Callithrix jacchus: one gene and its partners. The protein of the gene in region 1 purifies or fractionates together with the protein of each later gene. This does not show direct contact. Links are inferred from orthologs where the notes say so. Each region holds a gene or a part of one and is shown on either strand. Other genes may lie near its edges. The genes, in order: PHF1, EZH2, EED and RBBP7.

The links.
Region 2: the proteins of PHF1 (region 1) and EZH2 purify together in Homo sapiens (affinity purification with mass spectrometry; 15 studies listed by BioGRID and IntAct, with this or other methods). This does not show direct contact. The link is inferred for Callithrix jacchus from reciprocal best matches to the Homo sapiens genes PHF1 and EZH2.
Region 3: the proteins of PHF1 (region 1) and EED purify together in Homo sapiens (affinity purification with mass spectrometry; 8 studies listed by BioGRID and IntAct, with this or other methods). This does not show direct contact. The link is inferred for Callithrix jacchus from reciprocal best matches to the Homo sapiens genes PHF1 and EED.
Region 4: the proteins of PHF1 (region 1) and RBBP7 purify together in Homo sapiens (affinity purification with mass spectrometry; 7 studies listed by BioGRID and IntAct, with this or other methods). This does not show direct contact. The link is inferred for Callithrix jacchus from reciprocal best matches to the Homo sapiens genes PHF1 and RBBP7.

The regions. Positions count from the first base shown.
Region 1 is NC_133505.1:41,641,822-41,650,220, forward strand, and holds the start of PHF1 (PHD finger protein 1), read left to right. Parts: upstream 1-3,145; 5' UTR 3,146-3,678; intron 3,679-4,726; 5' UTR 4,727-4,742; coding exon 4,743-4,901; intron 4,902-4,986; coding exon 4,987-5,068; intron 5,069-5,175; coding exon 5,176-5,271; intron 5,272-5,671; coding exon 5,672-5,772; intron 5,773-5,884; coding exon 5,885-6,033; intron 6,034-6,217; coding exon 6,218-6,313; intron 6,314-6,511; coding exon 6,512-6,580; intron 6,581-6,712; coding exon 6,713-6,836; intron 6,837-6,944; coding exon 6,945-7,012; intron 7,013-7,189; coding exon 7,190-7,294; intron 7,295-7,418; coding exon 7,419-7,608; intron 7,609-7,698; coding exon 7,699-7,793; intron 7,794-8,054; coding exon 8,055-8,135; intron 8,136-8,279; coding exon 8,280-8,399. Other genes in the region: kinesin-like protein KIFC1, read left to right, coding at 2,134-2,178; uncharacterized protein LOC128931737, read right to left, coding at 1,931-1,955, 2,664-3,145. UniProt on the Homo sapiens protein: Polycomb group (PcG) that specifically binds histone H3 trimethylated at 'Lys-36' (H3K36me3) and recruits the PRC2 complex. Involved in DNA damage response and is recruited at double-strand breaks (DSBs).
Region 2 is NC_133512.1:98,886,631-98,894,497, forward strand, and holds part of EZH2 (histone-lysine N-methyltransferase EZH2), read left to right. Parts: intron 1-1,972; coding exon 1,973-2,089; intron 2,090-5,004; coding exon 5,005-5,125; intron 5,126-5,959; coding exon 5,960-6,100; intron 6,101-7,867. UniProt on the Homo sapiens protein: Polycomb group (PcG) protein. Catalytic subunit of the PRC2/EED-EZH2 complex, which methylates 'Lys-9' (H3K9me) and 'Lys-27' (H3K27me) of histone H3, leading to transcriptional repression of the affected target gene.
Region 3 is NC_133511.1:54,032,525-54,040,391, reverse strand, and holds part of EED (polycomb protein EED), read left to right. Parts: intron 1-3,264; coding exon 3,265-3,330; intron 3,331-4,392; coding exon 4,393-4,518; intron 4,519-5,491; coding exon 5,492-5,573; intron 5,574-7,867. UniProt on the Homo sapiens protein: Polycomb group (PcG) protein. Component of the PRC2/EED-EZH2 complex, which methylates 'Lys-9' and 'Lys-27' of histone H3, leading to transcriptional repression of the affected target gene.
Region 4 is NC_133524.1:17,120,531-17,128,397, forward strand, and holds part of RBBP7 (histone-binding protein RBBP7), read right to left. Parts: intron 7,628-7,867; coding exon 7,483-7,627; intron 2,453-7,482; coding exon 2,307-2,452; intron 1-2,306. UniProt on the Homo sapiens protein: Core histone-binding subunit that may target chromatin remodeling factors, histone acetyltransferases and histone deacetylases to their histone substrates in a manner that is regulated by nucleosomal DNA.

The DNA of each region.
Region 1 (8,399 bases):
ATCCCCAAGATTCCTCCCCATCACCACACAGTGATCATTATTTTTAGGTCTGCCTAGGACTCCACTATGTAGTTGCACCAAAATTTATCCACCAGTTCCCTCTACTGGACACTTGGATTGTTTCCACCCTTTATTAGTCACAAACAAGACCATGTTGACTAACTGTATGTACATCATTTTGTATTTTTTCAGTTACATGTAACCATCTAGGGAAATAGACATTGAAATGAGATTACTGGATCAAAGACTTAGAATTTTTTCAGACTATTTCAAATAGTGCGAATTCAGACACCAAACCCCATGAGGGTCAGCCAGTGACCCTTCTACTATTGTTAAGCAAGTCAGGAAGTTTCCTTATTGTCTGCCTCTATGGGTAATTTTTTTCTCTGGCTAACCCTCCTCCTGAGCTTTGATAGGCTCTGGCTTTATTTGAGGTCTGATCAGGTCTGTACTTCTGCAGTGCTTGGGCTTCCTCCCAATCAGCGTTGATTGTTGTTTTTTGTTTTGTTTTGTTTTGTTTTGTTTTGTTTTGCGGGGGCAGGGAAGGGGAAGGGAGGGACGGGGCTCGGGGGAGCCCGACTCCTGCCTGGAGTTTGGAGGCGTCCCAGCTGCGGAAGGGATCCCAGCTGCGAAGGGGATCGGCACCCTCAGCACAGACCCAGCAGAGAGGGGAGGGAGGGAGGGACGGAGGGGCGGGTACGGGGAAGGGAGTAGAGGAAGGAAAAAAAATGATCAGCATTGATTGTTGCCGTGGAGTAGCCAGCACCTGTACCCTGATCTGCTGTTCTACTTTGATGAGGGTTTCCCTATCTCGTAAGTTCAATTTTAGAGGATGTTGATGTTTGTTCTAACTTTTTATTAGTTATTATACCAGTGTAACATCCAACATGAACTTTAATATCCTCTAATAACCAGTTTATGTTAAATTTCACCCAACTGTCTCAGAAGTGTCTTTTATACATAATAGGTTTATTCAAATCAGGGTCCAGGCAAGGGCCACCCAGTTGGTTCAAATGTCTCAAGTTCCTTTTAATCTGTAACAGCCCTATCCCATGCTGCCACTATTATGTCATTTGTTTGTTGAAGGTCATTTGTCCTGTAGAATACACTTGTCTGGATTGTGGCTGGTTGCTTCCTCTTTCCCCCATGCTTTGACTTATTTATCATATTTGGGTGTTGTCAGCCTGATCCATCCACTTAAAAGCTCCCTATTGACCTTTCACCTAGTGATTTTATCCAGGAGTAACCATACCTAGATTCGTTATTTCATTAAGGGCTTTTTAAATGATGATTCAGTCTTCTCAGTTCTGCGTTGGTTAGTCACTATTCTTTTATGAAGAAATTTGCTTTGCCATCTACTTGGTTTCTGTGAAACTCAGTTCATAGAGGAAAAACAAGATAAATGCTGGATTATTTATTGATTTTCAGTATTGAGTTGATACCCTAACAGCTTCCAAAGGTGACCAATGAAGGTCTATCTGAGCGTTACTTTTTTTTTTTTTTTTAGACAGGGTTTTGGTCTGTTGCCCAGGCTGGAATTCAGTGGCTCAATCAAAGTTCATTGTAGCCTCCAAAGGTGTTGGGATTACAGGCGTGAGCCACCGAGCCCGACCACAGTCATTCTTTCTGATGCTCAAATTGCCCCATATTTGGCCATTAGGAACCTCCTTCAGGTTGGCGCCAGTGTCCTTTAGACACAACCCTAGTAGTCTTTTTTCAGATTCAACTTGTACATTTCCTCCTCCAGACTTCAACTGATCCACTTTTCTAAGGAGTGCTAATTCCTAAATGGGTGCTCGTTGCTATTACTATTTTATCTCAGTTTAAGGATTTTACAGTGGAAGAGGTTGGAGGTCTCTAGTAGAGAGTATTGCTGGAAATGAAAGCCTCCTCTCTCCGCTCCTGTATTTTGTTGTGGGGCTTCCATCTCTCAGGCCTTTTCACCTCCTCCAAACCTAGTGTGGAAAGGAGAACCAACCATAACTGAAATCAGCCTGAACCAGCCTTTGGAGGCCTTATTTCAGTATTCCTGAGGGCAGCCCCTAGCATTGGAGGATGGGAGGAGATCTTAAGAAAACTGTTCTTTTGGTTATTTTGCAAACTTTTTTATCCTGTCTCACCCCCTACACCCAGGTGAACCAGTGTGTTATTGGTACTGCCCAAGCCAACAGGAAGTGAAGACGGATCCAGATCTTGTGTGTTGGGGGTGTATGTGTTGGGTGAGGGGTGGGAGGGTTACTGAAGGGTGCTTTATTGGGTGGAGGGCGCCATGTCCCAGGGCTATCAAATAAAGAATACTTTTTTTTTTTTTAAATAAAGGTTTTCATTAGCATTTGCCCAAGGAGGCAGATACTTTCATATCTGTAAAGGTGGGACCTGTGATCTGTCCCTTCTGCAAAGTGTTTGTGTGGGAGGCGGGAGCGGGGGTTGAGGGCTTGGGCTTTTCTCCCTTCACCTGTCACCAGTTCTGGACCCTGGTCTGGATCATCTTCCCCTCTGCTAATGCCCCGTTCCCTGTCCGTCACATCGGGAGGTGTGCCCTCTAGCTATCCACGCCCCTTCCAACGTAACTAGTTACAGATTAAGTTTCACCCTTCCGCCCGCCACCTCATCCCCAGGGAGGGAACGGTCCTTTGGTGGGTGTCCGCAAATAGGGACCGGACCTCGGAGTCCCGAGGTGGGGCCGGCGCGCGCTCCCGAACTGCTGGCTCTTTCCTCCCGCCCTTTCCTTGCCTTTCTGTTCGAACCGCTGGGGCTCTGCCCGCCCGCTGCCCATTGGCTGGCTCTCGGTGGCGTCACCGCCTCGGGTACTAGCCCCCTTAGTCTTTGCGCCCGCCCTGGAAGTACGGGGCGGGACGTGCCCGGGAAGCGGCGCGCACGACCGCCGACTTCCTCGCGCCAACGGTCGACGGCCGCCGCCCGTGAAGGAGGGGCTCAGTCCTCCCAGGTGCCGCGCGCAGGAGGGGACACGCGTGCGCAAAAGGGCGGCGGGTGGGGCGCGACTAGCCACGGGGAGGGCGGGGCTGGGGCTAACAGCGAGTGGAGGGCGGGGCGCGCGAGGGAGGGCGTGGTGGGGGCAACGGGAAGGGTGAATGGAGGGCGGGGCCGCGAACTGGGGGCGGGGGGCGGGACTCGGCGTGACCATGGGGGGTGGGGCAGCTAACGGATGTGGCACGGGGCGGGGGACCAGTCCGGAGGCGGGCTGCCGCGAGGGGGGATTCCCTCCTGCCCCAAGGGCGAATCTCAGGTCTGAGGAAGGGGCTGAGGGGATTCCCTCTCCCACTGGGTCCGACTCTTCGCTCCCCAAACCGCGGAGGGCCAGCCTCTTGCTCGGCGCCCTCCAGGCCTGTTGGAGGTGAGGGAGGTGGGGTGAGGTGGTGCCCGGCCCCCCTCCGGCTCCTCCTTCCCCCCAGTCCTCCCCTCCCACCACCCTCCCCCCCAACCGGTCCGTCCCTCCCCTCCTTCCCCCCCGCCGCCTCCTCCTCCTGCCGCTGCCGCTGCTTTGGCTGCTGCGTCATACGCCCCAGAGCCGCCGGGACGGAGGGGCTGGGCCTGGGGACCCCCCGGCCTCCGCCTGCACGCCCCCCGACGCCCGGACGTGCCCTCTCCGCGCGGGGGACTCGCCTAGGTCTACTACGTCTGCCCCTGCCCAGCTCCCGGCGGCCCCAGCTGTCACCGGTAAGGAGGCGCCGGTGGGGGGCAGGGAGCCGGGGGTCGGCGCGGGGCGCGGGCGGGAGAGCCTCGTCGTCCTGGCCGCGGGGTCCTGGTTGGGCCGACGCAAGTCCCTTCTCGGACTTGCAGTCCTGGGGAGTAGAGACCGGGACTCGGACACGCCCCCCTCCCGGGGCACTCAGAGAAGTTGTCTAACCCGAGGGCAGGGAGCCCCGAATTTGAGGGTGACCTGACATAACCTGGCACCAGGATGATTGTTCTTAATGAGACACGCAGGCCTGGGGAGACAGCCGTTTCTGCCCTGGAAAACATCTCTAGAAAAGGTCCCAAAATACATTTCTGGGCAACAGGGCACCCTAATTATGGTACCTCTAAACTGAGGGGTAGCCTTTGCTTCTGCAAACGTAATTTCCCCTAAAATTTAAAGGCCAGGATATAATATCCCAGGAGAGCTCTGGAAGCTGTGAAACTAGAGAACTAGGTTTGGGTCGGGGGGAGGGCAGTTACCGAGAGTAGAGCCAGTCACTAGAGTTGGAAGAGTACTCAAGAAGCTGGTGATGGGTGCCCAGTGTTTTCCTATCCAGGTGTGTCAGGATTGGGAGTTGGGGGCACAGATCCTTCATTTTTGACGGCAAAATAGGCAAATAAAATGGGGAAGCTGGCTGGGCGCGGTGGCTCATGCCTTTAATCCCAGCACTTCGGAAGGCCGAGGTGGGTGGATCACAAGGTCAGGAATTCGAGACCAGCCTGGCCAATGTGGTGAAACCCCATGTCTACTAAAAATACAAAAATTAGCCGGGTGTGGTAGTGTGCACTTGTAATCCCACCTGCTTGGGAGTCTGAGGCAGGAGAATTGCTTGAACTGAGGTAGAGGTTGCAGTGAGTAGAGATCACACCATTGCACTCCTGGGCGACAGAGCAAGACTCCATTTCACACCACTGCACGCCTGGTGACAGAGCAAGACTCCATCTCAGGGAAAAAAAAAAAAAAAAAAAGAAAATGGGGAAGTTTTCTCAGCATTCATAACCTCTTCCCCATTTCTTTTCCGGCTAGCCCCCCCCAGGATGCAATGGCGCAGCCCCCCCGGCTGAGCCGTTCTGGTGCCTCCTCACTTTGGGACCCAGCTTCCCCTGCTCCCACCTCTGGCCCCAGACCTCGACTTTGGGAGGGTCAAGATGTGCTGGCCAGATGGACTGATGGGCTGCTATACTTGGGCACCATCAAAAAGGTAAGACCTTCTACCTCTGACCTTCTTCCTATTCCCCTTATCTAAGTCTGGTTCCCATTTCATTCTCTATGCTCACCCATTGCAGGTGGACAGTGCTAGGGAGGTGTGTCTGGTCCAGTTTGAGGATGATTCACAGTTTCTGGTTCTATGGAAAGACATTAGCCCTGGTAAGACTCTAGAGACCTGAGATTGCACATCACATGGAAAACAAACCTGGCTTATAGGAGAAGAAAGAGACTTAAGGGCAGGCCCCTGACACTGTGTTCTCTCATAGCTGCCCTCCCTGGGGAGGAACTCCTCTGTTGTGTCTGTCGCTCTGAGACTGTGGTCCCTGGGAACCGGCTGGTCAGCTGTGAGAAGTGTCGCCATGGTAAGAGGGCAGGTCACCTGAATGGTCCAGCTTGCTCTTCCCTCCAGCACAGTCCCTATGTCACCTGTCCTGGCCTTAGTCCCCAAGCCACTGTTCTGGCCAGGCTGCTTAGCCCTTAGTCCTCATCCCCTGTAAGCCCAGGGAAAAGCAGCCATAGAAAGGGTTGGTGTAACCTTTGCAGGTAGAGGATGATTTAAATGCATCCTTTCCTAACCGTATGACCTTGAGCAAGTCCCTAAATCTCTGGGAGCCTCAGTTCCTTGACTTGTAAAATAAGGAAAATGCACTCCCTCATCAAGACCATGGTCAAGGATTAAATGAGATGAGTAAAGACTATTCCAGTCCCAATACCCAGCACACACAGGTATGCAATAAGTGGTCTATTATTATCATTCTTCAGCTTATCACCAGGACTGCCATGTTCCCAGGGCTCCAGCCCCTGGAGAAGGAGAGGGCACATCCTGGGTGTGCCGCCAATGTGTCTTTGCAATCGCCACCAAGGTAAAGGCACCTCCCTGTTACCCCTTCCTGTGGGAGCCTCCCATCCACAGCCTTTCACAAGCCTTTCCTCTCCCCACCCCGCTGAGGCCACCCACCTGTTCTATCTCTGCAGAGGGGCGGTGCCCTGAAGAAGGGCCCCTATGCCCGGGCCATGCTGGGTATGAAGCTCTCTCTGCCATATGGACTGAAGGGGCTGGACTGGGATGCTGGACATCTGAGCAATCGACAGCAGAGCTACTGTTACTGTGGTGGCCCTGGGGAGTGAGTAATGAGGGGGAGCAGACTGTGCAATGAATGATGGCGGGGTGGACCCCAGGAAATGAAGGAGAAAGAACAGTGAGGGTAGCACTCAGGGGGTTGTGAAGTAAGTGATAAGCAGGTTTGGGACAGATATAGGGATGGTTGCAGTGAGTCGAGAGGCCAGAAGTCCTCTGTTTCCCCTTAGGTGGAACCTGAAAATGCTGCAGTGCCGGAGCTGCCTGCAGTGGTTCCATGAGGCCTGCACCCAGTGTCTGAGCAAGCCCCTCCTCTATGGGGACAGGTGAGACTCTCCAGGAGCCAATGATGCTCTGTCTTTGTGCTCCACCCTCAGTTCCCCCACGCCCTTCTCCACTCCAATCTCTTCCCAACCTCTGCAGGGTTACCTCACCTGTTCACCCCATCCTTGCTTGTGAGTCCTCCAGGAGACGGCATAGTTTTTCTGTGTAAGGTGTGTGTTCTCCCTCTTGTCCACGTCCAGGTTCTATGAATTTGAATGCTGTGTGTGTCGCGGGGGCCCTGAGAAAGTCCGGAGACTACAGCTTCGCTGGTGAGCTGGATTGGTCATGACCTCAGTGTAACTCTGCACCCCCAGCATTTCACTCTGTATGCCCCAACCTCCCACCTCAGGACTCCTCTGGCTCTTAAAATGCCTCTGTGGTCTTGAAAACTCTTTCTCCAGGGTGGATGTGGCCCATCTTGTCCTTTATCACCTCAGCGTTTGCTGTAAGAAGAAATACTTTGATTTTGACCGTGAGATCCTCCCCTTCACTTCTGAAAATTGGGACAGTTTGCTCCTGGGGGAGGTAAGGGGTAGTGACTTTTGGGAGTTGGGATGGGACAGGAAGATGTATTGGAAAGGGGAAGAGAAGAAATCACTGCTCCCCTGGCCCCATTTTCTTTCCTTCTCCCAGCTTTCAGATACCCCCAAAGGAGAACGTTCTTCCAAGCTCCTCTCTGCTCTCAACAGCCACAAGGACCGGTGAGTTGGAGGGAAGAGGAGGCAAGGGTGAGGCTTGGAAAGAGATGGAGATTGGAAGCCTGGAATGGGAGCCGTTTGTAACCCATCTGGAAGACTGTGACTGAAAAGGATTTAGGAATGGTGTAAGGGGGGACCTTTTTTACAGCAATGACTGTATCATTTATCTTCTTGCCCCAGTTTCATTTCAGGGAGAGAGATTAAGAAGAGGAAATGTTTGTTTGGTCTTCATGCTCGGATGCCTCCCCCTGTGGAGCCCCCTACTGGAGATGGAGTATTCACCAGGTCACTGGTCCAGGGGGGATGGGGGAAATTCTCAGGGTGTTAGTCTGGGGAATTTATGTATAGAGATGGGGAGGTCTTTGGGGTGTCCGGGAGGGGGCTGGGGGGATAAGGAGGCCTCTTACAGCTTCCCTTCAGGGCAGGGCCCTGGGGGAGGGGTCTCACGTCCCCTGGGGAAGCGCCGGAGGCCGGAGCCAGAGCCCCTGAGGAGGAGGCAGAAGGGGAAAGTGGAGGAGCTGGGGCCACCCTCAGCAGTGCGCAATCAGCCCGAGCCCCGGGAGCAGAGGGAGCGGGCTCATCTGCAGAGGGCACTGCAGGTACAGGGGAAGGGGGAACCCTATGGAGCAAATGGTGGGGTGTGGGAAGGAGTCAAGAATTATCTCTCAGTCCTTTGCCCCCTCTTCTAGGCCTCAGTGTCTCCGCCACCCCCCAGCCCTAACCAGAGTTACCAGGGCAGCAGCGGCTACAACTTCCGGCCCACAGATGCCCGCTGCCTGCCCAGGTCAGTGCTCCTCTGCCCCTTCCCCCCAAAAATACACTCCCATTTATTCATATCTTCTGGACTTTCTCACCCAGAATTCTTTTCCGTCTCCCCCTTGGCTACCCACTTCTTGTCCTAGACCAACTTCTAGAGCTAGTGTCTGGTAGCCAGTATTCAGGGGAAGGGAGTCCCTTGGGGGTAATGTTTGAGCTCTGTACTTCCTAGAGGGAGAAGGTCCTGTTACCCTGCTTCAGGTCCTGACTTTCCCCCCTCTGACCCCAGCAGCCCCATCCGGATGTTTGCTTCCTTCCACCCCTCTGCCAGCACCGCAGGGACCTCTGGGGACGGTGAACCCCCAGACAGGTGAGATGCTGTCCTCTATTACCAGTGATGCTCCTCTTCCCCTCTATGTGCTCAAGGCTCTTAATCTCTTAACTCTTTCTGTTTCTCTGATTCACATGTGCTCTCCATTTCTGCCTGTTTCTTACGATTGCCTTCTCTCCTTAGGTCACCCCTGGAACTTCACATTGGTTTCCCCACAGACATCCCTAAAAGTGCCCCCCACTCGATGACTGCCTCATCATCCTCAGTCTCATCCCCATCCCCAGGTCTTCCTAGACGCTCAGC
Region 2 (7,867 bases), on another chromosome or scaffold:
CGGTAAGGGCAAGAACTACAGTGCAGTAATTAAGCTCATGGGTGTTGTAGTCAGACTTTAAATCCAGGTTTTAATCCTGGTTTTGTAATTTGCTTCCTTTCTGACTAGACAAATTATATAACTTCTCTGAACCTCAGTGTCCTCATTTGTGAAGTTTTGTTGCTAAAACTACATAAGGTTGTAATGAGGAATAATTAAGATAAGTATATAAGCACTTAGCACAGTGCCTGCAACATAGTACGTGCTCAATAAATGTTAACTGCTTTTTAAATTGGATTATTGGATGGATGGATGAAGGATTGTATCAGAGGCTAAATAACAGGAAGGGGAAAGATTGCAGGTTCTGGAGTGTTAGTAACCTGTTCACACCATCTTAGTTACTGGAGTTATGAGCCTTATTAGTATTATTATCTTTATCTTTGCCTTTTTAGAAAGCAAATTAATGGATGAATCACTGTCACAGTTCTTCCTAACTACTCTATCCTTAAACCTTCACTTCCACTAAGGAAGGAATTGTTTTGTGCTGCAGTGACTGTGATGATTGAAAGATTATCCCACTGGCCTGATGCAACCCAGTGCTGAGGGTCAGGTGTGGCCCGTATGCCAGATTTCTACTCTGAATTTCACCACACCTACCTCTGCTATTTTTAAGACATTTTAAATAAAAAATTTAAACCTTTAATATGTATGTGTGTATATATATATATACATATATATATGATTTTTTTGGTTTCATTTTATTACACTTCTTTTTTGCTCTATTTTCATTGATTGTGAATTATGAATGTATGTCTAGGATATTTTGGAGAAGGCTCTGGAGGACTTACACTTCGGCAGTGGTACTCTTTAAGAAATCATGGATTCATTGACAGGGTGGAAAGTGCTGTGGTTATTTGGGCACAGATTTTCACCATACTTCAGAGAATCAAAGATGCAAAATTTTTGACATTTTAACATCTGAAACTAACATGCATCTTAGAATCACTGTGATAAGAACACATATCTTTGTTTAGTTGGCAACATTTTTTTTCTTAGTAAAACAGAAGATAATGGTGTGCCTTGAAATCACTATCATTTTAGATTGTATGGAATATGGTATTTCAAGGGACTGTGTGCAATGACACATTTTAAAAATATGATATCATGGCAATATAAGGAGTAGTAAGAGCAGGGGCTTCAGAGTCAGACTTTGGGGTTTTAAATTCTAGCCCTATAACCATGTGCAACCTTGGGCAACTTATTTTTCCTTTCATTACCATAGTTTTCTCACCTGTAAAATGGGGGCTAAGAACAGTAACCCATCTTACAGTGTTATGAGGATTAAATATAAGACATGTAATGTGTTTAAAATAGCCTAGCACATAGAAAGTAGTCATATTAGCGAATACTACGAATTCAGACATTACAGTTTTGCAGAATAGATTAGAATTTACTTTGTTGTGTTTGAAACTCAAACCCATTACCCTTAATATTTATATATCATCTGATAATATCAGCAGTTAACACTTGGATTTTTAAAAAGGAAGATAAAGATAAGGAAGATTAACCTAACAAGTTTTCTTATTCTTGTTAAGTAAGATTGAAGTGGCATATTTGGTGTATATATATATATTACTCTTTGTGGTTGGAATGTAAGAGACACGAAGGATGAGATAGGAAATGTATAGTGAAAGCATGGATCAGTTAATCAGATTGCTGAAGCTCACATAAGTACAGTTTTTGATTCTTACTGATATTGGTAAGTATGGGAAGGGTTGGAGGTTTTGAAAATTTACAAAATTTGAAGAATTTTTCACCTTAAGTAAAAGAGAGAAAAGAGAATCCTATTTGGTTTATATGAACGTAACTGTCCTAGGTAAGGACATTTTTTTTCAAAATTAAATAGGTAGGCAGCATCTCTTTACAATATGATGGCTACAGCTTAAGGTTGTCCTTCTATTCTTAAGAGTCAATTTTATTTTTTCTGTTTTAGTGTTCGGTGACCAGTGACTTGGATTTTCCAACACAAGTCATCCCATTAAAGACTCTGAATGCAGTTGCTTCAGTACCCATAATGTATTCTTGGTCTCCCCTACAGCAGAATTTTATGGTATGTAAATAAGACATCTTCTGCTTGTTTGATAATAACTTATTTGAAATAAAAAAGCATAGATAATTTTATTGTCAAGGTGACTCAATCAAGACAGTATAAATTTTAAAAAGCTAACATAATAATAAAAAGTAATTTAAAAAATGGATTAATATAGTCTTTTTAAGACGTTTGCAGTATTACTCTTTATACTCTCCAAAGGAAAAATGTTAAGCAGTAACCATACCTAGGATTACAAATACTTAGAAGTTGGGCTGGGCATTGTGACTCATGCCTATAATCCCAGCACTTCAGGAGGCTGAGGTGGAAGGATGGCTTCAGGGAGGCGGAGATTGTAGTGAGCTGATATTATGTCACTGCACTCCAGCCTGGGTGACAGCCAGACCTATCTCAGAAAAAAAAAAAAGGTAATGAAGCTTATAGTTCTTATCCTTAAAAAAGCCAGTGTCCTATAATCTCAGTCTTTGAGTTTTTGTTAATTGAGAACTATTTAAAATAATTTTAGGTAGCATTTTATTGTGATAATATACATAGGGCTTATAAAACACAAACTTAAACATATTTCCATAGCTAACTATGACCCAGTAGCTTTTGTAATAACATGCTAAAGAGAAACCGAAGCATGTGTTCTTGACTTGTATTGCTAAATAAAAAATACATTGTTTCATTGCTTAATTGATATATAAAGTGGGAAGGCTAATAAAATGTTGACGGAAGTCCTTGGTGGACCTGCTTTAGGAAATTGCTTATTAGATTAAAAAAATAGATATTTCCAATATTTTTAGTAAGTTTTATACTTTGTACAGTAGAGTATCCACTTCAATTACTCTTCCATAATTGTGTAAATTTGAATGTACTTTGAGAATTACATTGCAAGACCTTAAGGGAAGTTTTATGTTTTCACAGACTGAAATTCTAGAATATAGTATTTACATTTATCAATAAATATAATTTGTGAATCATCCATGGATTTTGCTGGCCCATCGTGGGTGACAGAACCAGACTCTGTCTGATTTTGCTGACCGAAGCAGATTAGGCACACAATTTTTATTATAACTAGGATATGTTTTGGAGAACAGGATTATGTGGATATAATTGGGAAGACAAAATAGCTAAGTGTCACTTAATTTTGGCTTAGATATAAAGAAATCAGCTCCTAGTTTAAATGAGATTAGTGCTGTAATCCTAGCACTTTGGGAGGCCAAGGTGAGTGGATCACCTGAGGTCAGGTGTTGGAAACCAGCCTGGCCAACATGGTGAAACCCAATCTCTACTAAAAATACAAAAAATTAGCCGGGTGTGGTGGCACATGCCTTTAATCCCAGCTACTCAGGAGGCTGAGGCAGGAGAATTGCTTGAACCTGGGAGGTGGAGGTTACAGTGAACTGAAATCGTGCCATTGAGCTCCATCCTGGGCAACAAGAATGAAACTTCGTCTCAAAAAAAAAAAAAAGGATTAGTGCAAGTGAAATGAGATGAAAACAGGCCTCTAGTGTGTACATCATCTTGAATTTGAATATATGAATATATTAAAATCTACATTTTAATTATAATGCCCCATTTATCCCAATTGTTCTTTTCCTTGTCTAAGGTCCTGTTATCTTTATGAACTCTCCAGTTGTCCTAAATTTGTTACCTAGGGATTATTTGAGATTTTGTCCACACTTCCTGCTTGCTACTAGTTTGTGTGGGCTTTCCCAGCGTGTTATTCCCTGTGGGCCATGGTCACAGTGGAGGGCCAAGCCTATACCATCTCACCCTTTTAAGAGCTGCTGTGTACTCCCAGTCAGTCTCAGCCAGTTCATTCTGCTTATCAGAACTATCTTTCTAAAATTCCATTTTTAGCAAATATCTTTTTCAAAGTCCTCTTAAGACTTAGACTTGTCTTCACTTGGAATTAGTCTCTTTAAGCATGTACTTCAGAACTGTGCAGTCTTTATCTATAATTACTGTCATTTTTATTCTTCATTGAAAATTCTCTTCCTCCCATGAATGTCAGCTTTCTTTACCTTGAAATCTTAAGTACTCCATTCTCTTAACTTTTGATTGGCTCTTCTTTCTTCTCTCTTGTCTTCCAAAGCTTGATATAAACTCATCTATCATCTTTACTAGCACTGTCAACTTTGATACTAATCTCATTCATCTAAATATTGAAATATGTTTTTATAGAATGTTCTTATTTTACATATAAGCACATATCCTTTGGGCATAAACTTGATTGGACCATCAATACTCTTATGTCCCTAGAATTTTATTATCTTGGTTATCTTAAATTTTTTTTTTCTTTTTACCTTGAACTATTATGAATTAACAGATATCTTAATAACTGGATCATCAAGTGGAATGTAGGAGCCTTATGATAGTTTTTTGGTATGGGTTTTTACAGTTGATCTTGATATACTATATTTCATTAAGACAACTCCCCTCCTTGTATTAACGTATGAAATAAGAGAGTGCCTTAAAACTGATGATGGCTGGGCATGGTGGCTTATGGTGCCAGATACCTGTAATCCCAGCACTTTGGGACCAGCCTGGGCAGGATACTGAGACGCTCATCTCAATAAAAAATGAAACAAGAAAATGAACTGGTTATGTCTTTTCGTAATGTAGAGCATATTTTTCTTTCTTAGAGGTATGTAAAATTATAGTAAGTTTTAATGATTGATGACAAAGTACAGTATTTTTTCTTGAATTAAATTCTTTTTCTTTCAGCAGTTTTCGCAGATATGCTTATTCTTTGCTTTTATTCTCTGATATTATTCTTTGGTAGCTTTTAGAGTTTGCTCTCTGACTAGTATTTTAAATCTGGAGAACTGAGTAAAGACATCTTCATATGAAAAAAGGTTGTATTTTAGTTATTTCACATTTGATAGTTAGAATAAAGCTGCTTTTTAAATATTTCTTTTTCCTTTTAGGTGGAAGATGAAACTGTTTTACATAACATTCCTTATATGGGAGATGAAGTGTTAGACCAGGATGGTACTTTCATTGAAGAACTAATAAAAAATTATGATGGAAAAGTACATGGGGATAGAGGTGAGCCATATGCTCCTCTTGGGAAAAGGGGCTAACATGGATACTTTTGTTTATTAAGCATAGGGCTTGAGAAAAATTTTAGTGTTAAAATTAAGTTTTGCACTGAACTATAAGGGACTGATCTGGGCCCAGGCCTAAAATTTTTAGCATTTTCCCTATTTTTGGGAAAATTAGTTAGGAGGCTCATGGTTGGCCACCTGATAATTACACATGGTTGGTTATGACATAAATTATAATCGCAATTACATGTAAATTAAATAGAAATTGAGCATATGTAGATTTTAAGATTCTTTAGTAGTAAAGTTAGTTAGGATTGGGGCTCTGCTTATGTGGCATATGGGGGCTCTAGCACCCCTACTGCTCAAAAATACCTGTCCTCTAGGAACTACAGTACTTCAAATTCAATCATTAGAGTTATGGGTTCAGTTTTTTTTTTTTAATGTCCAGGAGGCCCTGTTAAAGTGTCTGAAAGGGTAATATTTGTAATATCATCATCCATTGTCATTATCAATAGAAAGCGGGCTCTGAAGTGATCAGTTAAAGAATGGTAAGAGGCTAAAGCCACGATCAGTACCTAGAGGATGTGGTTTTATAGTAGAAACTTTTGGGGAGGGGCTATTCAACAGAAAATAGCAGATATTAAAGATAATTCTGCTTTCTAACTTTGTCTAAGGCCAGTCTTGAAAATCTTACATTTTCCTCCCCTCATGTCAATAATAATGTTTTAGTGCTAGTGACTGGGCTATGCCTGTTATGTCCAAAGTAGAAAAAGGATCCATAAACTTTTGTCATTACTACTTCTCCTGTGTGATTCTGACATTTGATGAATTTCAGAATGTGGGTTTATAAATGATGAAATTTTTGTGGAGTTGGTGAATGCCCTTGGTCAATATAATGATGATGATGATGATGATGATGGAGATGATCCTGAAGATAGAGAAGAAAAGCAGAAAGATCTGGAAGATCACCGAGATGGTATGCCTGATGATTAGGATTCTGTGTAGCCAATACAGCTTTCTTTTGAAAACAGTAGAAAGAGTAGAAGGAGGGCTTAGTTTCTTTCTCTTTTTTTTCTTTCTTTGTTAAATATCACATTGATAGCAGTATAATTAAAATTGCATATTATGGCTGGTCAGGGTGGCTAACATTGTAATCCTAGCATTTTGGGAGACCAGGGTAGGCAGATTGCTTGAACCCAGGAGTTCAAGACCAGCCTGGGCAACATAGCAAGACCCCCACCCATCTCTACTAAAAAACGAAAAAATGAGGCAGGGAGATTGCTTGAACCCAGGAGGTATAGGCTGCACTGAGCTGTGATTGTGCCACTGTACAATCTGGCTGGGCAATAGAGTGAGACCCTGCCTTAAAAAAGAAAAAGAAGGCTGGGTGTGGTGGCCCACACCTGTAATCCTAGCACTTTGGGAGGCCGAGGTGGGTGTATCACGACAAGGTCAAGAGATCAAGACCATCCTGGCCAGCAGAGTGAAACCCCGTCTCTACTAAAAACACAAAAATTAGCTGGGTGTGGTGGTGCTCACCTGTAGTCCCAGCTACTCGGGAGGCTGAGGCAGGAGAATCGCTTGAACCCAGGAGGCAGAGGTTGCAGTGAGCTGAGACTGCGCCACTGCACTCCAGCCTGACAGAACGAAACTCTGTCTCAAAACAAAAAAAGCAAATGAAAAAGAAAAAAAGCGTATTACTTGCAACATTATTTTCAGTTTAGTACCTTTGTTTCCTTTGGCTAGGGAAAAACATAATTTTTTGTGTGCTTCACTGGGCATTGTTTTATTATGATATTCACTATGTACAAGTTGTGTACTAATCAGGTTCATATGCACCAGCTCACTTAATCCTCATGATGGCTTCATGAGATGGATGTTTTTATTATATCCATTTTATAGTTGAGGGGATAGATTTAGAGAGGTTAAGTAACTTACAAGATTACACTACTGGGAAGAAACAGAGCCAATAGTTGCTGTTCTCTACTTGGCAAAGCTTATGTTAAGGCAACAAAGAAGAATTTGGTGAGGGAAATAGCAGTTTTGTTTTTTTTTTTGATACAGAGTCTTGCTCTGTTGCCAGGCTGGAGTGCAGTGGCGTGATCTCAGCTCACTGCAGCCTCTCCGCCTCCCTGATTCAAGTGATTGTCCTGCCTCAGCCTCTCAAGTAGCTGGGACTACAGGCGCACGCCACCATGCCCAGCTAATTTTTGTATTTTTAGTAGAGACGGGGTTTTACCATGTTGGCCAGGATGGGCTCTATCTCTTGATTTCATGATCCGCCCACCTTGGCCTCCCAAAGTGCTGGGATTATAGGCATGAGCCACCGGGTCCGGCTGGGAAATAGCAATTTTTTTTTTGGAGATGGACTCTTGCTCTGTTGCTCAGGCTGGAGTGCAATGGTGAGATACCCGCTCATTACAGTCTGCCTCCTGGGTTCAAGTAATTCTCCTGCGTGAACCTATTCCAAGTAGCTGGGATTACAGGCGTCCACCACCATGCCTGGCTAATTTTTTGTGTTTTTAGTAGGGATGGAGTTTTACCATGTTGGTCAGGCTGGTCTCAAACTTCTGACCTTGTGATCCACCTGCCTTGGTCTCCCAAAGTCCTGAGATTACAGGCACGAGAGACTGTGCCCGGCTGGAAATAGCAATTTCTAAGAAGCATATTTCAGAAAGAGAATTTAAAAAGGCACCTTAGTGAACATCTAGTTGAGTCAGTTCCTTCATTTTACAGATGAGTT
Region 3 (7,867 bases), on another chromosome or scaffold:
ATATAATACTGAAATAGAATAATTTTAAAGTAAATTTTGTGAAGCTGGTTTAACAACTTTCATGTAAGAGTGAAGCGTTCTAGAAACTATCTAATTAAAACCAGTATGCATGGCTGAAAATACATCTTTATTAAATATATTATCCCTAATTGTTGATGAAACAGATTTTATACTTGTGTTTGTCTTCATAAATATTTGGTTGGAAGAATTGGCTTTCTTTTAAAGTTATTTTGTTGTTATTAAATAGCATAAGAAATGGCTGTGATTTTTAAAAATAAAGGTAATTAATGGCTGTATAAATGAAAGCTTAAGTCCAGTGGATTTAAATAAGTTATTGAGATGTTTTAATTATTAGCAGTAAACATTTGAGACTTTTTTGTTTTTGTTTTTGTTTTGAGACAGGTGGTATTTGGTGGTGGTTTTTGTTGTTTTTGAGAGAGGTCGAATCTTACTCTGTCCTCCAGGACGGAGTGCAGTGGCTGATCAAGGCTTATTGCAGCCTCAAATTCTGTGGCTCAGGTGATCCTTGCACATCAGCCTTCTGAGTAGCTGGTATTATAAGCATGCACTACCATGCCTGGCTTATTTTCTGTAGAGATGGGGTTTCACCATGTTGCCCATGCTGATACTGAACTCCTGGGCTCAAGGAATCCACCTGCCTTGGCCTCCCAAAGAGCTGGGGTTGCAGTCGTGAGCCACTATGTCCAGCCTTTTAAGGAAATTTTATAATGACATGTAAGGCTGTAGGGCTTTTACTATTTGGCAGAGTCAAGTCATTGAAACTCTCAGTATGTGTAAGTTACCACTGAAGTTGATAACGTGAAATAATAGCTTTTTTTCCTCCCTTTTTTTTTGGTGTTTAGACAAATGTAGGTTTTAAGATAATGGAGTCTGCTTATAGTTGTTTAGTTTCTAAATTCTTTGGAAACAGCAATTCAGAGGAAAAATGATGTGGCTTTAAGAAAAGGTTGAGGTTATTTTTTTCTTAGTTGGAAATGTAGCCCATTAATTAAATTTGAATCCACTTTTAGGGCACCACTGTAAACCTAAGACAATATTTAGCTCTGATAGTATTATAATTGGTATAGTTTGTGCTCCAGTATGGTTACTGCAGTGTTTCAAGTTTTCTAATAAAAAGAATTCCTATTTTCATTTAAAGTGACATAAAGGGGTGTCATATAGTTTATTGAATTATTAAAAAGTCTGCTGTTAGGATTTCTTTAAAAGGAAGAAAGAAAAAGAAAACAGTTATCACATAAGATACAACCAACTTAGCAGCCATATAAATAATTTTTTTTGGAACATTAACATAGAGGAGATTATGAATTAATAAATTGTGATGATATACAGGATCTTCAGAGATCTTAAATACTGTTATAAAATATGAATAGGTTTTTGCTAAGGTGACTGACTATAAGATATAAGAAAAACGGGGTTGGACACAGTGGCTCATGCCTGTATCCCAGCACTTTGGAAGGTTGAGGTGGGTGAATCACCTGAGGTCAGGTGTTTCAGACCAGTCTGACCAACATGGATACCCCATCTCTACTAAAAATATAAAAATTAGCCTGGCGTGGTAGTGGATGCCTGTAATCTCTGCTACTCTGGAGGCTGAGGCAGGAGAATCACTTGAACCATGGAGACAGAGGTTGCAGTGAGCCGAGATAGTGCCATTGGATTCCAGCCTGGGCAACAAGAGTGAAACTCCGTCTCAAAAAAAAAAAAGAAAAGAAAAAAATTTATAAAAGTTTAGTATTACAAAATTTTATATGGTTTATGTATAGTTTTAATTTTAGAGTATACAACAAATGAAAAGGGCTATCATACATGAGAAAGTTAATACGTGATTATCTGTACCCATGAGAAAGTAATTCATTAGGCAAATTGTAGACTTTTTAATATTAATGTAACTAATATGTAGATGCTCTAAAACTATCCAAAGACTTGCTTTAATTTTATTTTTTTATGTTTTGAGACAGACTCTTGCTCTGTCGCCCAGGCTAGAGTGCAGTGTTGCAATCTCTGCCTCCTAGGTTCAAGCGATTTCCCTGTCCTAGCCTCCCGAGTACCCAGGACTACAGGCGTGTGCTACCATGCCTGGCTAATTTTTTTTTTTTTTTGAGATGGAGTCTTGCTCTGTCGCCAGGCTGGAGTGCAGTGGCGCTATCTCGGCTCACTGCAACCTCCGCCTCCTGGGTTTGAGTGATTCTTCTGCCTCAGCTTCCCGAGTAGCTGGGACCACAGGTGCGTGCCACCACACCTGGCTAATTTTATAGTTTTAGTAGAGATGGGGTTTCACCATGTTGGCCAGGATGGTCTCGGTCTCTTGACCTCTTGAACCGCCTGCCTCGGCCTCCCAAATTCTGGGATTACAGGCGTGAGCCACTGCGTCTGTCCCCTGGCTAACGTTTTGTGTTTTTAGTAGAGACAGGATTTCACTGTGTTAGCCAGGATGGTCTCGATCTCCTGGTCTCATGATCCGCCTTTTCTGACCTCCTAAAGTGCTGGGATTACAGGCAAGAGCCATTGCGCCCAGCCTTAATTTTTATTTTATTTTATTGAGATAAAGTCTCCATGTGTCACTAGGCTGGAGTGTGGTGGCGCAATCTCAGCTCACTGCAATCTCCACCTCCCGTGTTCAAGCGATTCTTCTGCTTCAGTCTCCTGAGTAGCTGGCATTACAGGCTCACACCACTGCACCCAGCTAATTTTTTGTATTTTAGTAGAGATGCGATTTCGCCATGTTGGCCAGGATGGTCTTGATCTCCTGACCTCGTGATCCGCCTGCCTCGGCCTCCCAAACTTTTATTTTTTAATAGGGATGGGGTTTTGCCATGTTGTCTAGGCTGGTCTCAAACTCCTGGGCTCAAGCAGTTCACCTGTCTCAGCCTCCCAAAGTGCTGGCATTAAGTGACCCACTGTGCCTGGCCTCCAAGGCCTTTTTAACTACAATTGAAAGATGATAAGTCACAATTACTTTGAGGTTTTTAACTTTATTCACTTTGAAGAGTTGGTGCAATTAAATGGATGAATATGTTTAAAAGATTGGAAATCAAAACCATTATTACTACAATATTTAATATACTCTGTATTATATAAAACATTCAGCTTTATGATGGTTTCCTTAAGCTTACAGGAGCTAATTTAAGCCAATAGTTTCTAGATTATATTTACGATGTGATTGTGATTAAAACATGTTTAAAAGTTGGAGAGAGTATGTTTCTGTACTTGAGATGAAATTTACTATATTTTTATTTTCATTAGGTTACCTTGTATGAATGTCATTCACAAGGAGAAATCCGGTTGTTGCAATCTTACGTGGATGCTGATGTATCCTTTCCTGGGTTTTTAATATCTTTGGTTAAAGGAATTTATTTTCAATAAGTACACCAAAACTTTTATAAATTAATCAGTTTGCTAAAGTTTTTGTTCTTTCTTAACCTATTTCTTCACTATCACCCAAGAGAATCCTAGTATCTAGTTTTCCTGACCCTTAGAAATCCATTGTGGTATGTGTCAACTCAGCTAGGCAAAAAAAAAGAAAAAAAATACATTGTGGGATGGATGTGCTGGTTGGATGCAGATGTCTAGAGAGGTAGATAGAAATCTAGTAATAGAAAATGTTAGCAGACTGGTTAAAACCTCCTTTTTCTTCAACCTCACCTAGAATATATCATTTAATTGTGGTTATAATGATGAACTTGGGTTGTGACTGGCAGTCATTCCAAGTATTTGATCAACAAAGCCTAGAAAGAAAAAAAAGTGTAGTTTCAGAAATAAAATATTGCAAAACAGGGTCATAAAGAAACGGAAAAATTTGAAAAGTCTGAGTTAGAGCAGTAAAAGCTAAGTAATAAGATGTTTTTTCCAGATCCCTTTGAAAAACTTAGCGAACAAGACAAGGCAGGGACCTTCAGTCTTCTCTGAAAGATACTGAAATTTGACCTGTGTTGTATTGGGAGTATCTCACAAAGAAAAAGGTGGAAAACTGAATTGTTTTTATTTAGATATGTATAGTATTGGAATAGAGCAGAGGTTAACAAACTGCAGCTTGCAGGCTGGACACCTGTTTTTAGTAAAGTTTTGTTGGAACACAACCATGCCCATTCATTTGTGTATTGTCTGCAATTATTTCGGTAATGCAACTACAGAGTTTAGTAGTTGTACGAACAGTTAAAGAGTAAACAATTGAATGGAGAAACTGTAATTTTGTTTGATAATTTGTTATGGATTTTAGACCTCAAATCCCCATTGTATAAATTTGGTTGTAGAAGGAAAATCGAGAACTTTTATGTCAAAAACATTAGCAGTTCTGTGTAAGTTTCTATTATAACTATTGACATTTTTCTTTTTCATAAACAAATTATATTTCTTAACTGTGGAATTTCATAGGCTGATGAAAACTTCTACACTTGTGCATGGACCTATGATAGCAATACAAGCCATCCTCTACTGGCTGTAGCTGGATCTAGAGGCATAATTAGGATAATTAATCCTATAACAATGCAGTGTATAAAGGTGGGTTTTTCTGGTTAAGTTGTAGTTCTACTTCTTTTGAAGTAAAACTTCAAAAAGTAAAACCTTTAAAAAAACTTTTAATGTTAAATTTAAAACCAATGATATGAATGTAACATTTCTGATTTGATTTGTACTTACTTTAGATGAATCTTTTGAGACCTTTGTCACATTCGAGTAATGTAAATTAAGGAATAAGTGGGAAAATGTTAATATTTATAGTGTTTTCTTTTTAGAATTTCCCTCCTTCACCCTTTTCATGCTTTGCTTTGAGAGGCTCTAAATGAACAATAAGAGTGAATCAGTTTTCCAAGACATCCAAACTCCAGGGGTCTTGTCAAAGGGACCTTGTCACAAACTTAAAGGTGAAGTCTAGCAAGTTGATAAGAAGATAAATTTTTCAAATCAACTTTAATCAGCTATTTTTAACCCTGGGGACACATCATAATCATGTGAGGATCCGAGGGCCTCTGCTAATCCGATTAGAATATCTGTAGGTGGGGTTTTGAGCATCTTTTTTTTCTGCTTTTTTTTTTTTTTTTGAGACAGTCTCTCTCACTCTTTTGCCCAGGTTGGAGTATAGTGGCATGATTACAGCTCACTGCAGCCCATGTCTCCTGGGCTCAAGTAATCCTCCTGCCTCAGCCTCTCAAGTAGCTGGGGCCAATTTTAAATTTTTGTGTGCATATGTGAAGATAGGGTCTTGCTATATTGCCCTGGCTGGTCTTGAACTCCTGGCCTCAAGTGATTGTGCCTTAGCTTTCCAAAGTGCTTGGATTAAAGACACGAGCCACACACTGTGCCTGGGCTTTTTTTTTTTTCTCTTTTCACCAAGTTTTTTGGCTGATTTTAATATGCAGCCAAGGTTCAGAACCACCACTTTAAGTGAAACTATTTTTACATTCTCTAAAGATTTATGAAAAAGCATTTACTGATTTCGAGATATGAAACTTGAAATGTTTTAAATTTATTGTAGCACTATGTTGGCCATGGAAATGCTATCAATGAGCTGAAATTCCACCCAAGAGATCCAAATCTTCTCCTGTCAGTAAGTAAAGGTAAGAGAAGCAAATGTTTCTTTAGTCTGTGCAAGTTGTCAGAATTAGGATGGAGTCACTAATGTCAAGAAAACCCTGACAAACAGGAAAAGCCATGAAAAGAGAGTTCACATGCATGTATGTCTGATAATATAAACTCACAAAAAAACACAAGAACCGCAACCTTGCACAAAGGCCATCACAACCTTACATAGAAAATACTGCCAGTAAGTGACTATTCATCCTCAGATTGGCATTACCCTTGCTACTGATTTTGAGGCGAATCTTACTTCAAAACAATTATGTAATCCTTCTCATTTTTTTCTTTTAAAAACCTTACCTTTCTGAAAACACATGCAATTTACTTTGGCATGTGCATTCTCATTGAAGTGCTTTATTTCCATATAAACATCTTTTCTTTTAGAGAGCCTTTCTGTTACTTAGGTTAACAAGTCCTGTTTTATTTCCAGTCTAGTATCTATTAGTTATTTTTCCTGATTCTCTTTCTCCTCCCACCCTCCACCCTGCAATTAGGCCCCAGTGTGTGGACAGATAGTATTCTAAGGGGATAAAAAGCCAAATTAAAAAATAATTTTATAACAATAAATTTTAGTGTGAAAATCCCAGGCTATGTTAGCATATCCAGATCATTCTGTCCAATTATGTAATAATAAATACTACATAGAAAAATTCATATTGCTTTTTTATTTTTAAAAAAAGCTATTGTTTTATAAGGGATTCCCTATAGAATTTCTTAAAAATGCTAAGTTCTCCAGGATAAGTTACTTGAAGTATTTCCCATGAAGGGAAAGCACTGCATTGTTCCTTATGCCTTCATAGACATTATAAATTTATTGTGGGTTTAGATATTATCTAATTTCTGAGCTGTCTGAAATGAATTAGGAAGATCTGATTTTTCACATTGTTTTTGATTGCCTTTCTCTTTCCATTTCTACTTACAAGATTGTTATTTTCTTAGGCTTGTCAAACCTGTAATCTCCCCTGCAGTCTACTCAGATTAAATGATGTCCATAAATTAAAACTCTTATGTGCAAGTTTGTCTTATGTAAAAGTTTCAGTGTCATTTTTTTATAACTACCAAAGCTTAACTTTGGAAATCACTATCTCTAGGAAGAGCTGATTACTGTTTCTTGTCTCTTAATAACACTAATTTGGTCTCAGATATTTCTGTACAAGTGTATAGGCCATAGTGCCTCACTTGTTCTAAATATCACAATGTTTTTTCTTTCTTTCTTTCTTTTTTTTTGAGACAGAGTCTCGCTTTGTCACCTAGGCTGGAGTGCAATGGCTTGATCTCCGCTAACTGCAGCTTTTGCCTCCTGGGTTCAAGTGATTCTCCTGCCTTAGCCTCCTGAGCATGGTGCCCACCACCATGCCTGGCTAATTTTTTCTGGTTTTAACAGAGATGGGATTTTGCCATGTTGGCCAGAGCTGGTCTCAAACTCCTGATCTCAGGTGATCCAGCTGCCTCAGGCTCCCAAAGTGCTGGGATTATAGGCATGAGCCACCGTGCCTGGCCACGCCTGGCTAACTTTTTAAAAGATGTTTTTGTAGAGGTGAAGTCTTGCTGTGTTATCCAGACCGGTCAACTCCTGGCCTTAAGCAGTCCTCCTGACTTGGCCTCCTAAAATGCTCGGATTATAGGCATGAGCCATGATTCCCAGCTAATAAGGGACTTGTATCAAGAATTTTTACTGCTCAACGATTTAAAAATGGCCAAAAGTTCTGAATGGCATTTCTTCAGAGTATATACACAGATGGCCACTGAGCACATGAAAAGATGTTTAACATATTAATCATTAAGGAAATACAAATCAAAACCAAAATGAGATACCACTTCACATCTACTTAGGGTGGCTATAATAAAAACCTTAGATAATAACAAGTATTGATTGGCACAGGAAGGAATCAGCAGAGTCCTCTTAGACACTGCTGGTGGGAATGTAAAATGTAACTACTTTGAAAAACAATCTGGCAGTTCCTCGGAATGTTGGAGTCACCAATCCTAAGTGTGTTTGCATATATATATGTATGTATATGTATATATATATATATATATATATATATATATATATATCCCCTAGGGGTGTGTGGGTGGGGGTGTACATATGTATTCCAGGAGATACAACATGTCCATACAAAAACTTGTATAAAATTGAAATCAATCAGGAATCATTTTTACAGCACTAATTTTTACATGTATTACTACCTCTTGGTGTTATGTGATGTATTAATATTTATAGACAGAATGAACATTGTTATATTTCAAGCTTACATGACATGTCTTTTTTTTT
Region 4 (7,867 bases), on another chromosome or scaffold:
TCATTATGCAGAGACTGTTAAACTGCAAGCCCAGTAAATATATAGCTCAGGACTAAAGGCCATTTAAAAATTTCTGATTACAATATTCAGGCCAGATGTGGCGGCTCATGCTTGTAATTTCAGCATTTTGGGAAGCTGAGGCAGGCGAATCACTTCGGACCAAGAGTTCAAGACCGGCCTGGCCAACACGATGAAACCCAGTCACTACTAAAAATACAAAAATTAGCAGGGCGTGGTGGTGGGCGCCTGTAATCCCAGCTACTCTTGAGGCTGAGGCATAAGAATCACTTGAACCCAGGAGGTAGAGGTTGCAGTGAGCCAAGATTGCACCACTGCACTCCAGCCTGGGCGACACAGAAAGACTCTGCCTCAAAACAAACAAAAACAAGAAATCCTCAATATTTAAAGAAATAATGCATAAAATTGTTGGGGAATGAACTGTAAATTGTGGGAGTGGTAAACTGGGTAAATCACTTTGGAGAATAGTTTTCTATGAAGTTAACAATGAATACACCATACAACCTAGCAGTTTCACTACACTAGAAAATGTAATATTTTTGAGTCAGGATCTTGCTCTGTTGCTCAGGCTGGAGGGCAGTCGTGTGATCCTAGCTCACTACAGCTTCAAACTCCTGGGCTCAAGGGATCCTCCCCCTTCAGCCTCCCAAGTAGCTAGGACTACAGGCATGCACCATCACACATGGCTAAGTTTTAATTTAATTAATTAAAAAAATCTTTAATTTTTTTTAAAGATGGGGTTTCACCATGATGGTCAGGCTGGTCTTGAACTCCTGACCTCAGGTGATCCACCCACCTCCGCCTCCCAAAGTGCTAGGATTACAGGCATGAGCCACCGCGCCTGGCTTAATTTATTTTTTGATAGAGACAAAGTCTCACTGTGTGCCCTGGCTGGACTTAAACTCCTGGGCTCAAGCATTCGTCCTGACTCGGCCTCCCAAAGCGTTGGGATTACGGGCATGAGCCACCACATTTTATCTTCAATAAGAGAAAAACCCTAAAGCATGTATTATGAAGTGCTAATAGCATTAAGCCATCTGGGACTGTGAAGAAAGAGTTAACACAGCAGTCTGGTTGCTTAGCCCTGGACTCTGAGGAGCACTGGGACCCTTAGTGACCCTTGGCAAACTCCTGGGAACATGCACCTCAGAATGTTCTTTCTGTCACTGATGAACTGATGATTTTGTGGTGTGCACCTGGAGCAATGGACCATGTTGTACCAGTTTGTCAGGGTTGCTTTGTAGATATCAAGATTGATTATTGTTTTTATTACTGGGGTCCTCAAGTTTCAGTTGCCATGGCTGGTTGTCAGCAGGATGTGTCTATGCAACTAGGCCCCCAAGAAAGCCTCAGACCCTAAGACCCAAATAGGCTTCCCTGAGCAGAGATATTTCACACATGTCCCTGCAGTTTGCTGCCAGAGAAAAGCACATCCTGTGTGGCCTTGGACAAGACTTGTGCCAGACCTCCCTGAACTTGCCGATGCACATCTTTTTCCTGCTGCTTTTGTATTCTTTACTGTAATAAACTTTAGCCACAAGTATAATTTGCTCTTTTGAGTCCTGACAAAATCACCAAACTTGGGGTGGTCATGAGAATACCAAAACAGGAGAGTATGTTTGACTAAATCAAAAAAAGAAAAAAGCAGCCAAGAGATTCCTAAATTAACCATAGCACTACTGCCTCTCCCTCCAAACAAACAAAAAAAACCCCAGCATTAACCATTTGGTATCACTATTGTTTGATGTATATGTCGTCTCCTGATTTTTTCCCTGTGCACACACCAACACATATTACTTCTACCAAAGTGGAACCCGGTAATTACACATAACAGTTATTCACTTAATTTATCTTGGATACCTTCCTATACCAGTGCATACAGATTTTTCTCATTAAAAAAAATTTTTTTTTTAAATTTTTGGTAGAAATGAGGTCTATGTTGTCCAGACTGGGCTTGAACTCCTCAACTCAAGTAAACTTCCCACCTCAGCCTCCCAAAGTGCTGGGATTATAGGTGTGAGCTATGGCACCTGGCCTTTCTCATTAATTGCTGAGTAGTATTTCAAACATACCATGTGCTTAACCAACATCTGGGTTACTAGGTTGATCTTAATTTTTCAATTCTACAATTACGATTAAAATCCCTTATGTACATGTGGGTGAGTAATTCCGTAGGATAAAGTCCTAGAGTTAAATTACTGGGCCAAAAGCTAATAGTTTTAGTAGCACACGCTTTGAACGAGGCATATCCCCTTTGACATCAATATTGGAATATATAATATACCTACCACCCTTGTCACTGTCACAATGGGAAGCATCAAACTGTGCATCATCATTGGGAATATGTACTCGAGCAACCACCAGATGATTCTGCTCATCAGACGTGTGAGTCCCCAGCACTAGCCAATGAAGGGCATAATCTTTTCCTTCCGGTCTGTTTAGAAAAGAAAACAAGTCACACTAATCCTCTAAGAAATTTCCAGTTGCTAACAAATTCAGTCAAGTTCCCTCAAAATACATTCAAATTTCTTTAGCAAATATATACTTAGTATCAACTGTGTATCTTCTCCCTGTGTGGTTACCAACTTTACAATCACCACATATGCAAGTGTAAGAAAATAATATTCTAGCTACGACATGCAGAAGGCTTGCTTCTTTCCCCAAGAGCTATTCTCCTGTGCTTCAATTATCAATGTGAATACTGCCTTTTATAGAGCAGCACTCTGGGGAAGGTAGGCCCAACTCAGTAAACACAAACATCTACACAGGAGTCCACCAACAGTCCCCGTACTCATAAATCACCTAAAAAAATCTTCTTCCCACCTAAAGATATCTTATACAGTAGATGTTTCTTATTTCCCAATAAGAAATTCTACAAGGTAGTATGGACAGAAAGTGTTGAGTCAAAAAAACTTAGCTTAAGTCCCGGATCAAACTAAAATGCAATTGCTTCAAACACAACCTCCCTGGGGCCTGTTTCTTCACTGAAAAAAACAGGTTGTAAGTGCAAATGGTCTGATGTGAAACCCCTTATTTATGTTTATGAGACCTAAGTTTATGAAATGAACATTCTCAGTTTTACTGAGGTGTCTTTGTTACCTTGTTCTGTGGAAACTCACCTTGAGGCTGAAGAACTTGCCCAAACCTCTTGGCACCTTGGTCCAAGCAGTGATTTTTCACCAGTATCTATCAAAAAGGCTTTCCCATTTGTATTATCTAGAACACAATTTTCAACTGTGCTCCACGGTCCCATCTCAATGAAGAGGACTTAGACGGGCTCTAGGCCCCAACACAAGTTAGGCCATTTATCTGTTTAAAAATTTCAGTTGCACAAAGGATTCAATGGTTAAAAAAAAAAAAAAAAGACTGAATGTTACTTCTAGGCAAGTAATTTAGTAATAAGAAAATACAAGATGCAATTTTACCAAGATTTGGCTTACAGTAAAAAAAGTGTACGCGGCTGGGCACGGTGGCTCACGTCTGCAATCCCAGCACTTTTGGGAGGTCGAAGTAGGCGGATCATGAGGTCAGGAGTTCCAGACCAGCCTGACCAACACGGTGAAACCCCACCTCTACTAAAAATGCAAAAAAATTAGCCAGGCATGGTGGCATGCGCCTGTAATCCCCGCTGCTTGGGAGGCTGAGGCAGGGAAATTGCTTGAACCAGGGAGGTAGAGGTTGCTGTGAGCCACGATCGTGCCACTGCACTCCAGCCTGGGTGACACAGAGACTCTGTCTTAGAAAAAAAAAAAAAAGTGTGCACAGACAGATACACACACACACACACTCCCCCAAGAACAGAGTAAGGAAGCCATAACTAAGCAATAGCAACTTGTTTAAAAAAAAGACAGCCAGCTACGGTGGCTCATGCCTGTAATCCCAGCACTCTGGGAGGCTGAGGCGGGCGGATCACCTGAGGTCAGGAGTTTGTGACCAGCCTGGCCAACACAGTGAAACCCCTTCTCTACTAAAAATACAAAATTAGCCAGGCATGGTGGCACATGCCTGTAATCCCAGCTACTCAGGAGGCTGAGGCAGGAGAAACACCTGAACCAAGGAGACAGAGGTTGCAGTGAGTGGAGATTGCACCATTGCACTCCAGCCAGGGCAACAAGAGCAAAACTCCATCTCATTAAAAAACAAAAACAAAACAGAATTCTCTGGCACCCTTTAAAACAACAAGCATATCCAAGCATGCTGATAGGAAAATCTCCAATTTACACTTTTACTGACAAACTCAAGTGAAGAACTTGCTACCATAAAAAAAGATGAAGATACAGGTATACACTTCTACATGCTGGCAGGATGGATTAAGAAACTGAAAACAGTGACTGGGGAAAGGAAGTAGGGCAGTAAGGGATGTACAAAAGGATGTACTGCCTGAATTTGAAAAATTACAAAGCTTTTTAAGGTAGAGAATAAGTTAGTCTCAATATAGTTCAGGAATTATTCAACAAGAGATATGAAATACCTACCTAATTAAAAAAATTTCACAGAGCTACCTAAAAAAAACCTTTTAAAAGCCAAATCAACGCCTGTAATCCCAGCACTTTGGGAGGCCAAGGCAGACAGATCACGAGGTCAGGAGTTCAAAACCAACCTGACCAACATGGTGAAACGGTCTCTACTAAAAATAAAAAAATTAGGCAGGCGTGGTGGTGCATGCCTGTAATCCCAGCTACTCAGGAGGCTGAGGCAGGAGAATTGCTTGAACCTGGGAGGCTGAGGCTGCAATGAGCAGAGATGGTGCCATTGCACTCCAGCCTGAGTGACGGAACTAAACTCTGTCTCCAAAAAAAAAAAAAAAAGCCAAATCAAAATCAGTTATTTGGACAATTACTTAACTCAATTGAAGGACAATAGCTCAGAAAGTCCAAGTAATTGTTATGAAGCATGTTGTAAGTTGGCAGAAGAAGGGCATATGGGGTGGAGTAGGGTCTAGTTCCTCAGAGTCAGGCACTGAGAATAGCCAACATTTTTATTGTGCTATATGGTGGTAAAACACAGTCTCTTTATACCCCAAACTGAACCTTGCAAAGCTCCACACAGCAATCCTCAACATCCAAGAATGCAGGCTGCTTGGCATTTTCTTACATTCTCTAAGCCACTGCACTTCCCACAACCCAATCCTACAACATCTTTGTATATAAAGAACACCATAATACACATGAAATAATTTAATTAAAGCATTTTCTGTTACATTCCTAAGTGTTACATATTATAGGTAACAAAAAAAAAAAAAAAAAAAAAACTTAAGCAAGCAGCTTTCATTGAAATCCAAATGAAGAAACACAGAGCTATTTCAATCCTGACAAATTATTTCTGAACAGGAAGGGGTGGGAGAATCAGCATCAGTCACCACTTGCTGTGTACTCATGCTGCATCAGGCACTTTAACATGCATGATCTTATTTAATTCCCTCAAATTGAGGTAGTCAGTACCACCACCATCTCCATTTACAGCCCAGACAACTAGTTCATGAAGCTAAGTAGAAGCAGGAGCATGATTCCAACCCAGGTCTCTAAGTTTAAAGCCCCTACTCTATTATGTTACAGTGGGTCAAAAATATCCCCAAAATTTAGTTAATAAATTTTAAATCTGCTTAACAGACAAAAACAGGCAAATGCACACGATGCTCCAAACCAGAACTTGAATACCCCTGAGTATATGATGCTTAATCTACTGTTAAATCTGTTCAAAGGTGGCTGTAAACGTCAATGCTTCCAAGTCTTCACCATTTAGTTCTCTACTCTTCCCACATCCGCATATTTACATTTAGATTTTTGGGAGGCCCAGTGGAAGTCCCTATCTGTATGGAAATCAATGTTTGCGTGCAGAACCTAGCCATTGTAAGAGCAGTTTTATACAAAATTAGCTCATTATGATTATTATTATTTTAGAGACGGAGTCTTGCTCTGTCGCCCAGGCTGGAGTGCAGTAGTGTGATCTCAGCTCACTGCAACCCCTGCCTCCCGGGTTCAAGCAATTCTCCTGCCTCAGCCTCCCTGTAGCCGGGACTACAGGCACACACCACCACGCCTGGCCCTCTTTTTTTTGTATTTTAGTAGAGACGGGATTTCAGCACATTGCCCAGGCTGGTTTTGAACTCCTGAACTCAGGCAATCCACCTGCCTCAGCCTACCAGTGATAGGGTAACAGGTGTGAGCCACTGCGTCCGGCCAAAAATTATTTTTATAACTTGTTACAAAATCCTCTTTTTAGGTTAGAGTTTAATTTAATATTCTTTAACTTATATGTCCACAACACCCAATTTTAATACACTTTTTTTTTGTTTCTTTGGGAGACAGGGTCTCTCGCTCTCACTACAGCCTTGAACTCCTGGGCTCAAGCTAACCTTCCAAAGCGCTAGGATTACAGGAGTAAGCCACTGTGCCTGGCTCCGTATTTAATACACTTTAAAAGTACATGGTCAAGTTCCTACTAGAAAAGTGCAAGTGAATGAGAAATCTAATGCAGGGACCAGCTGTGTGATCCTGGGATAGCACTTAAACGCTCAGTCCCAGTTCCCTTATTAGTAAAACAAAGATGATGAAAAGTACCTAGAGCACAGTACTATTATGAGAATTACAATAGGATGTAGACTCTTCAGATGTGCCAGGCCCTGTTCTGAGTGCTCAATAAATGCCAGCAATTATTACCAGAGAAACTGTAGATCTAACAGAAAAGAATACTCTTATGAAGACTAACAGCAATCTCAAAGTGGATTCCATATTAGAAGCTGATTAACACCTTTTTTTTTCAAATTGCACTTTAGGTTCTTGGGTATATGCGCAGATCATGCAGGATTGTTGCATAGGTACATACATGGCAAGGTGGTTTGCTGCCTCCGTCCCTTGTCACCGATATCTGGCATTTCTCCCCATGTTATCCCTCCCCATCACCTCCCCCGCAACAGACCCCAGTGTGTGGTGCTCCCCTCCCCGTGTTCGTCATTGTTCAATACCCGCCTATGAGTGAAAACATGCGGCGATAATACCCATTCTTTGGTCAATTGTTGACAAGGTCTTTTCCCCTTTACCAATTAAAATGTATTTATCTTGGGTGCCTCTTACGTGTTCACTTTGTAAAAATTTATCAAGCCATACACTTAACAATGTGTGAACTTTTCTGTATATGTTCTATTTTTCAATGAAGTTTTAAAGACATGTAGTAGTTTGGGCCCAGAGAGATGCTGCTCTACATTCAAGCCCAGGCAATGTCAAATACATTCAGTATTTCCTCCAAACACTATTAATCTCACAACAGATTCTTTCTCCCCTTTTAACGCCACAGTATATGCCAGAAATCATCCCACAAATCACGTAAGTTTTGAAAATAAAAACCACCTGCTACCTCATGCAAGGGCTGATTACATACTTATGTTCTATGTATAAAACGTCAAAACTAGGAAATTCAGAACTACAGTTAAATTTAAGCAAAATAAAAGTTGCCAGAAACCCTTACTTAGTCACTTCAGGAAGCCACTGAACTGTAAGACTGGGCCACTGAAGAGCATGGGTCATAACCAGGTCATATAGAAACGGTGTATTCTTCTTCCAGATTTTATATTCTTCATTGATGACACGCTCCTCCACAGTATCTTCAAACACTGAAATTTGGAGAAAGCCCACACGATTAAGTGCCTGAGATGGACTGAAGTCAGAAATTGGAGGTCATCTCAAGATGGCCACACCTCATGTACGCTTTCTTTTTACCTCTAATTTGGACACGGACAACTAACCGCTCTTCCAGGAGGCGGAGAGAATACTAACACAACCAGGAAGCGTATTTTTTTTAGTTGAGATCAATACCTCCTGCGTATACCATGTTGGGTAGTCAATTACGCGGA